2 linked regions of the Nothobranchius furzeri genome follow. The main gene of each other region encodes a partner of the protein of the gene in region 2 in a complex. Links are inferred from orthologs where the notes say so. Each region holds a gene or a part of one and is shown on either strand. Other genes may lie near its edges.

Region 1 (3,893 bases), on a different chromosome or scaffold from region 2:
AGCCTCTGTTTCCTGTTCTTAGCTGACAGAAGTGGCACCCAGTATGGTCTTCTGCTGCTGTAGTCCATCTGCCTCAAGGTTTGACGTGTTGTGCATTCAGAGATGCTATTCTACATTCCTTGGTTGTAACGAGTGTTTATTTGAGTTACCATTGCCTTTCTATCAGCTCGAACCAGTTTGGCCATTCTCTTCTGACCTCTGGCATTTACACCAACAGAACTGACACTCACTGGATGTTTTCTCTTTTTTGGACTATTCTCTGCAGACTGTAGAGATGGTTGTGCGTGACAATCCCAGAAGATCAGAAGTTTCTGAAACACTCAAGAGCAGTCCATCTGGCACCAACAACCATGCCACGTTCAAAGTCCCTTAAATCACCTTTCTTCCCTATTCTGAAGCTCAGTTTGAACTGCAGCGGATCGTCTTGACCATGTCAACGTGCCTAAATACAATGAGTTGCCACCATGTGATTGGCTGATTAGTAATTTGTGTTAATAAGCAGTTGGTCAGGTGTACTCAATAAAGTGGCCAGTGAGTGTATAGTGAAAACAGGAGTTAACCAAAAACAAAGCCTTGGGGTACTCCACAAATGGTGTGCATTGAAAGTTTATCTCCAAACCCCTTTCCTGCTGCCTGATGACCAGAGCATCATTTTATCAGTGCCAAGTTCCCGGGAAAACTTTTCTAGTATTTTTATATAACTGCTTTTCCCCTTTTCTGCTTGGGTCATTTTCCACCATTAGGTGCGAGTTAGCTTAAGTCAGTGTCTTAACTTGAACAATTATTCTATTATTCCAAGGGGGTCAACCATCAATCCCAAACATTCACTGATTTATTTACATTAAATCAGACGTCATGAACAGAAATTTGTCACATTATTCAACGTAATTATTTTTAATTAGCATATATCAACATTTTAATTTTTTAATCAAATGTACTTTCAGTATACCAATTCTTACATTATTTACATTCAATTTGTTTTTTTTCTAAGTCAATGCATCTATCAGATATGAAACCTTCTAAAATGATCTTACAGAGAGCTTCCATCAATATAAAAACAGATTTTCCTATTTAGTAATCAGTGCTTCAAATACAAAGACCACGTTAAATGGCTGTGTAGATCATTCAGTTCCAGTCAACCAGGTCTGCTGTGCGGTCTGAGGCATCTTCAGATATCAATGATAGCAAATATTTCTGGTTTTTCTTTGTCGTGGATCTGCATTGCAGAGTATGTGATGGCTTTCACCTCAGTTCCCTTGAAAGACGGCATACAGCAGGACAAATGAGTAACAATAGTCTCTTCCAATCTCACTTTTCACAATAAAGTTTCTTCCATGGCCTACCTGCGGATGCTTTGCTAGAGAAAATTCTTCACCCCACCTTTAAAAAAGGAAATAGAAAGAGTTGGAAATAAAAAATACAAACTGGTTTGTTTAACTGAATATTCTAAACTTACCCAATAGAGCGAATTTTGAACTGCATCCTGTCAATGGACAAAACTTTGATCTCCTAATAAACAAATAAAAGACGTGTTTAACTAGATTACTTTAGTTCACACTTGTGATGTGGAAACTGCTCCATGGCTTAAGAAACCAGCATGACGGAGCATGTTTCAAAGCTAGCGGGGACAAGTATTCACAACTATTCAAGAGACTCACCCTGGGAATAAAGAAAAGATCTGCACAGAACTTGTATAACCAGTCGTCTAAAAAGTGGAAAAGAAGGGACTCCATATCTTCACCTTTGAAACAGAACAAGCAGATTGATTGTTTAGGTGTTTTACACATGTTAAACCAGCATGACGTACATTGATCAGCGGCAAAACTAAAACACAATAAACTGATCATCCGATAACGATCCCCACCTTCTGATTCCACTTCCACCGTATCGATCGGTTCCACGGTCTCTGTGTCCGTCATGTAGCCAAACATCCCCATGGCACACTGCTCAAAGGCTTCCTCCAAAGAGTCTCCCCAGGAGTGGATTCTTTAAAATGAATATGTAAATATTCTTACTGTGATTACTGAGCAGCAAACATTGCACAGCACGGGGAATGAGACACTCACTGTACATCAGCTGTGTGATCCAGGTCTGAAATAAAACACAGGCTGACATCAATTTACTGAAAAGAAACAGCTATGATGATTACATTCAACAACTTCATTTGAAAAGTTGAAGACTTTCTTCCACTGTTACATGAGGAAAACAGCTAAGCTAACAACTTGCTGTATCATTATTTCGTACTTACATTCATATTTCTTGTTGATCGGCGGGTATTTAGCTTTAATAGCTTTCTGATCATCTGTCAAATCTAGTTCACGGTCTTCCATTGTAGTTTTAAGCCTTTTAAACGTTTAAAGTGACTATTTCTGCCTTACACCATGTTAGCGTAAGAAAAGGAAAATGCTGCGTTCAAAGTCCAAAGTTGTGGCTCGTATATTCTATTGTCCGCGTTTACGTCTGTACAATACAAAGTGTAAGTGAATAAAAATATATACTCCGTCATCAAATTTATTTTGCATCTTTTATTAGAAAGAACTAATATCAGTTACAGTATTAACACAAACAGAAACAATTTTCTACAAAAGTGGCTATGATCATTTATTTTTCTGTTGTAGGCTAATTGATTAGAAATTGGAAAATATTTTTCCTTTATTGTTTACTTTAGTTTAGATTTGTGTTATACTAGTTCAATTAAAAATGTAAGGTAAATGGACAGGTCCACCTGCTCACAAATCCAATTTGTTTACCCGACTTCTAAATTCCGAGCTGCCATGTCCCATGTAATCAAATTGACGTTCCGGAAGTAGTAGCGTGTGTACGTCAGACTTCCGATCGACTTTACTGTATGCTGGTTGGCTAGTCCTGTTCTATGGAGTTGGCGCCATTGCAGGGCTGTCGTGCTGTGTTCTGTGCGTTCTTCCCCAAAATAACACATTTTTAGCCTGAATCAGCTAATTAGCTACGGTGCAATGGCCGATAAAGACGGTAAGAGCGTTAGTCTATCGTCACTACGGGATTAGGTGGAAAGGTTTTTCGTATTGAACGCTTAAAACCCAAATCCGGGTGGACCGGCAACGGTTCGCGCGCAGCTAGAATCTTTCATTGTTAGCGGCATGCTAGCTAGTAGCCGCTAACGCGTTGGCGACACGGGACTTGGAACATCAAATATACAGATCACGGATTTATATATTTAGCGTATATAAGTGTTTTGTAGTAATTTTGATTACATTCCTCGTATGCTTGTTATATTTTATTTGTAAAATTAGCTAATATGGTAACCATTATGCTAATTTGACAAGTGAACTATTCGGTTGACATAACCGAAATGATACTATGGTTTTTGTTCCCTCTCAGAGTTCTATGTTCATATTGGTGATTTGCAGGGATGACTTTAATGTTGGTTGTTGTTTTTTTATGCAGCTGCTTTTGATGACGCTGTGGAAGAAAGGGTGATCAATGAAGAGTACAAGATCTGGAAGAAGAACACCCCTTTCCTCTATGATCTGGTCATGACTCATGCCCTGGAGTGGCCCAGTCTCACTGCTCAGTGGCTGCCAGACGTCACCAGGTGAGAATGTGCTTTTACACTTATGCAAATGCAAGGAAACTGCATTTTTGTGTAATCCACGTCGCTCTCCACAGACCAGAGGGAAAGGATTATAGTGTGCATCGGCTGGTTCTGGGGACTCACACATCTGATGAGCAGAATCACCTTGTAATTGCCAGTGTTCAGCTTCCAAACGACGATGCCCAGTTTGATGCTTCACACTACGACAGCGAAAAAGGAGGTGAAAAGGCGAAAATGCGCCATGCACGTCTAGTTGGCTACAGGGGCTGATTAATGGATCTGTTACAGTGAATGGTTTAGTGACATGTTCTCTTTTGTTTCA
Region 2 (3,910 bases):
AGCTCTCGTAGCTCCTCGATGTGCAGCAGGCGCAGGATCTGGGCCGCCTCGTTCAGGGTCGCATCTGAGGTCGGAGAACCACGGAGGTCAGTTTTTCTCTTCTACACCGATGGGTGTTGTGGTAGCCAAACACAAAAACTCACCTCCAGTGTCAAAACCCAAAACGTGTTTGTCTAAAGCCACCGGGACTCCCTGGGGACAAAAGAGAAAGTATGAAGCTTAAAGATCAGAATCACAAGCTGAAGGTGATCCAGAACAAAATGTTTTCTTTCAGATTTACTGATCATCGATTTAAATGAAACAACATGGGCTAAGAAAATAAATAAATAAAGACTTCACGTGACATTTTTATAGTGTGTACACTCAAAAAAAATCATAGAACAGCTCAGGACTTCTGAAGAGTGTTTCTGGTTAAATGTCGTCTAGTTGTTGTGGAAAGGCCTTTGAAAACCCTCAGTTTAGAGAAATGGAGATTAGCTAATTGTGACAAGCTAGCAGCTAGTCAAAATGAGGCTAATTATAAAATGTCTTAAAATAACTACAATCTCTAAATCATGCAAATACTTTTTTACAATTAATACTGTCATAAATGTCATGTTTTGTAGTTAATCTAGCACAGTGGTTCTCAATTAGTGAGGCGGGGCGGCTTGAGAGTCCACGTAAGTAGAAGCCATATTCAACACGTACCTTGACATCACTGAAAAGAATTGAGGACAACTGTTTAAGCAGAAATATTATGAAAAGCCAGCCAGAAGCACCATGTGTGTAAATAATAGGGGTGTGTATTGGTGAAATTACGGCGATACGATACACATCATGATACAGGGAAGACGATACAATACATCACGATATATTGCGATACATTCGATATTAACGACTTTTTTTAGACTGAATTTATCATAGTGAAATTCAACAAACAATCCAAACCGATACTAACATGTTTAACATGAGGTATCTGAACCATAATGGAGGGATTTGCATTTCAACGGTGGAAACAAAACCCACTGGCACACTGCTGCCAACTAGTGATCGGCGTTTGAATTGCACCAAAAGAAATGAAAATACACAAATGTTTGTATGTAAATTCTTCCAAAAATTAGATACACTGCTTTTGAATATCGATATATCGCAGAAAACTATACCGCAATATATTGCGATATCGATATTTTCGATACACCACTTTTGAAAATCGATATATCACTGAAAAAAATATCACGATATATTGCCATATCAATATTTTCTGACAACCCTAGTAAATTATTATTATTATTATTTAATAACTGATATATTTTTAACTAGAGCGTTTTAAAAATTGCAAACTCTTTCTCCAAACTGAGGCCATTCAAAGAACTCCCTACAGCTGGTAAGATACTAACTGTTCACAGAAACACAGAAAAATGTTTAACGTTATCTTCAAGACTAATAAGGTCATTTTCTTGACCATTTTAGCTAATTCTACCATTTCTGTTTAATTGACTAGTTTGTTGCTGTTTTACAGTGTAACGTGTACCTCTCTGTTCTGGTTGGCTTTTGTGATGGCCTCTGGTGAAAGTCTCTCCTGGATCAGGATGCGGATAGCCTGCCGAGTGAAAACATTAGGAAACGTCACAAAGTAAACAACTTGAGCACATTCAGGGATGATGTAGACACGCATACAGCTCACCTTGAGCATGACCAGGTAATCGTCGTGTCGTTGGATCTTTAGAATGTTCGCCAGAGCGGTGACTCCTGCTTTAAAATCTGGAGAACTGCCTGAAATGTATTTATTTTTTATTAGACCTTTAGGTGATGAATGAAACGTTAAAAGGTAGTAACAGCAAAGATGTGTTCCTGCTTACTGTCCAGGTTGATGAGAGGATCCACGGCTCTGTCGCCGTTCCCCGAAGCGGCCAGCGGCGGGCAGTTTTTATACTTATCAACTACAAAACAAAACACCCAGAATAAGGAAAAAACGCCATCATATAATAACCTAATTATAATTCAGCTTTCTATGCGTGTTGGCATTATTTCCTTTGTTATGGCCCCCTCTATTGGTCGTGGTCGGTATTTCAACCATTGACACGCCACATCAAAGCTGTGATTTCTGAATAAATATCATTTTAGGAGGTTTTTACAGATAAACGATCACATCAGATACCGTTGTCTCCATATTCATAACGCACAGCCAGCCCCAGTAACCAGTCCAAAGCCTCCTTACGCTCCTGGACTCCAAATGGACAGGTCAGGTCCTGCAGGTACTACACACACACACACACACACACACACACACACACACACACACACACACACACACACACACACACACACACACGCACGCACACGCGCACACACACACACACACACACACGTAAGCTCTAGTTGGGACTCTTGTTAGGAGATAAGCTCTGAGATAGTCTCACCTTCTCATAGGCTTTGGGCCACTCAGAGCTGGGGATGTTCCTAAGGTTGCCCCGGTCTTCGATCTTGTAGTGTCGGATCTTCTGGTCCTCCAGCCACACGATGCAGTTTCTGAAGTGAGTTTCATCTGACAAAAGCGGATGCGTCACTATTTTACTGGTTTTATGAAAACACATAATTTTTTTAATCACCATCTGCTGTTATACACTCTGATAATTAGTGAAGCAAAGGAGTCCAGCTGTTTAACTGATAAATATAGCCCAATGAGACACACGGTCATCGTTTAGTCTGCTAGACTAGCAAAATACATCCCTAGAAATGAAGCTATCTTACAAATATTAATGCCGAATACACATGTGGTGTGTTTTTGATTGATTTATGAAGATATTAAAGCTGATAAAACACGTGTGCTACTAAAACTGAGCACAACCTTAAAATAGTCTATTTGTAGCGTTTAGTTCGCCGCCTCAGGACTTCGTGCTAACTTGGTTCCATTAAAACTCACCGAACCTCCTAAACAGCCTGTTTATTGCTTACCTGAGCAGTCGAACCCGCTGGGATCGTGATAATCTAGAGCTGTTAGTTTTCTGCGAAACATTTCACGAAGTTTTAATGTGAAACCCTTCGTTGTTTCTAAATAATTAAACCTTAAATGACCACTACGTTGCTAGCTCAGTGTGCGGCAGCGCGCATGCGTTGTCGGAGTTGAGTATTTCCGGTTGTGCTTTCCAAAATAAGAGCTAACAACGAATTCACATCTGAAACAAGTGTCTTATTACGTCACAGGATGGATGCTACTCTGAAGGAACGAACTGGTTTAGTAAAGGAAGTGTATGGAGAGGCCAGGAAAAAGGGGACCTTTGCCATTGTCTCTTTTTCAAATACCCACATTTGAGTTTGTTGAAGCATACGTCCATTACTTTAAGCTTGTAGACACCAAAGAGCTTGAAATAACGTTATCCGTGGTCTATCTTTTTCTTTAAAATGACTTAATACCAGCTCAGTGGTCTAGTGGTAGTGTGTCCGCCCTGTCTGGAATTCGGGGTTCAAATCCCAGTCGTGTCACACCAAAGACTTTAAGAATGGGACCCAATGCCTCCTTGCTTGACACTCAACTTTAAAATGGTTGGATTGGGGGTTAAACCACCAACTGGTTCCTGAGCACAGCCATAATTACAGCTCACCCATCCCTATGGCGATGGGTCAAATGTGGAGATGGCACCTTAACTTAAATACATAGTTTATATAACGAAACAGAGAAGTCTCTATACAAATTTGCAAAAAAAAAAAAAAAAAAAACTTTTTAAATTAAGGATTATCATTCAAGTGAGTTTGGTATGTTTGATCAAAACTGGTCTGTTTTTGCAAATTAACTCTTCACAAACACACATTATTGATATTAACTACTCAACAACAGTCTATAGGGAAAAAACAGCTTTATTAAACATGAAGAATTATAAAATGAGGCTAAACTACTCAAGAGAACCCAAAAACAGATGTATCGCTTCATGTG

What was found.
Region 1: rtraf (region 2) and zbtb8os share a complex: the UniProt entries of both Homo sapiens proteins name them as parts of the tRNA-splicing ligase complex. The link is inferred for Nothobranchius furzeri from reciprocal best matches to the Homo sapiens genes RTRAF and ZBTB8OS.

The regions. Positions count from the first base shown.
Region 1 is NC_091758.1:34,389,136-34,393,028, forward strand, and holds zbtb8os (protein archease), read right to left. Parts: upstream 2,447-3,893; 5' UTR 2,331-2,446; coding exon 2,249-2,330; intron 2,092-2,248; coding exon 2,067-2,091; intron 1,987-2,066; coding exon 1,865-1,986; intron 1,742-1,864; coding exon 1,659-1,741; intron 1,510-1,658; coding exon 1,457-1,509; intron 1,381-1,456; coding exon 1,344-1,380; intron 1,256-1,343; coding exon 1,169-1,255; 3' UTR 815-1,168; downstream 1-814. Other genes in the region: histone-binding protein RBBP4, read left to right, coding at 2,973-2,988, 3,424-3,571, 3,646-3,791. UniProt on the Homo sapiens protein: Component of the tRNA-splicing ligase complex required to facilitate the enzymatic turnover of catalytic subunit RTCB. Together with DDX1, acts by facilitating the guanylylation of RTCB, a key intermediate step in tRNA ligation.
Region 2 is NC_091754.1:55,851,376-55,855,285, reverse strand, and holds the start of rtraf (RNA transcription, translation and transport factor protein), read right to left. Parts: upstream 3,118-3,910; 5' UTR 2,996-3,117; coding exon 2,935-2,995; intron 2,525-2,934; coding exon 2,400-2,524; intron 2,238-2,399; coding exon 2,138-2,237; intron 1,920-2,137; coding exon 1,839-1,919; intron 1,753-1,838; coding exon 1,664-1,752; intron 1,580-1,663; coding exon 1,511-1,579; intron 193-1,510; coding exon 144-192; intron 65-143; coding exon 1-64. UniProt on the Homo sapiens protein: RNA-binding protein involved in modulation of mRNA transcription by Polymerase II. Component of the tRNA-splicing ligase complex and is required for tRNA ligation.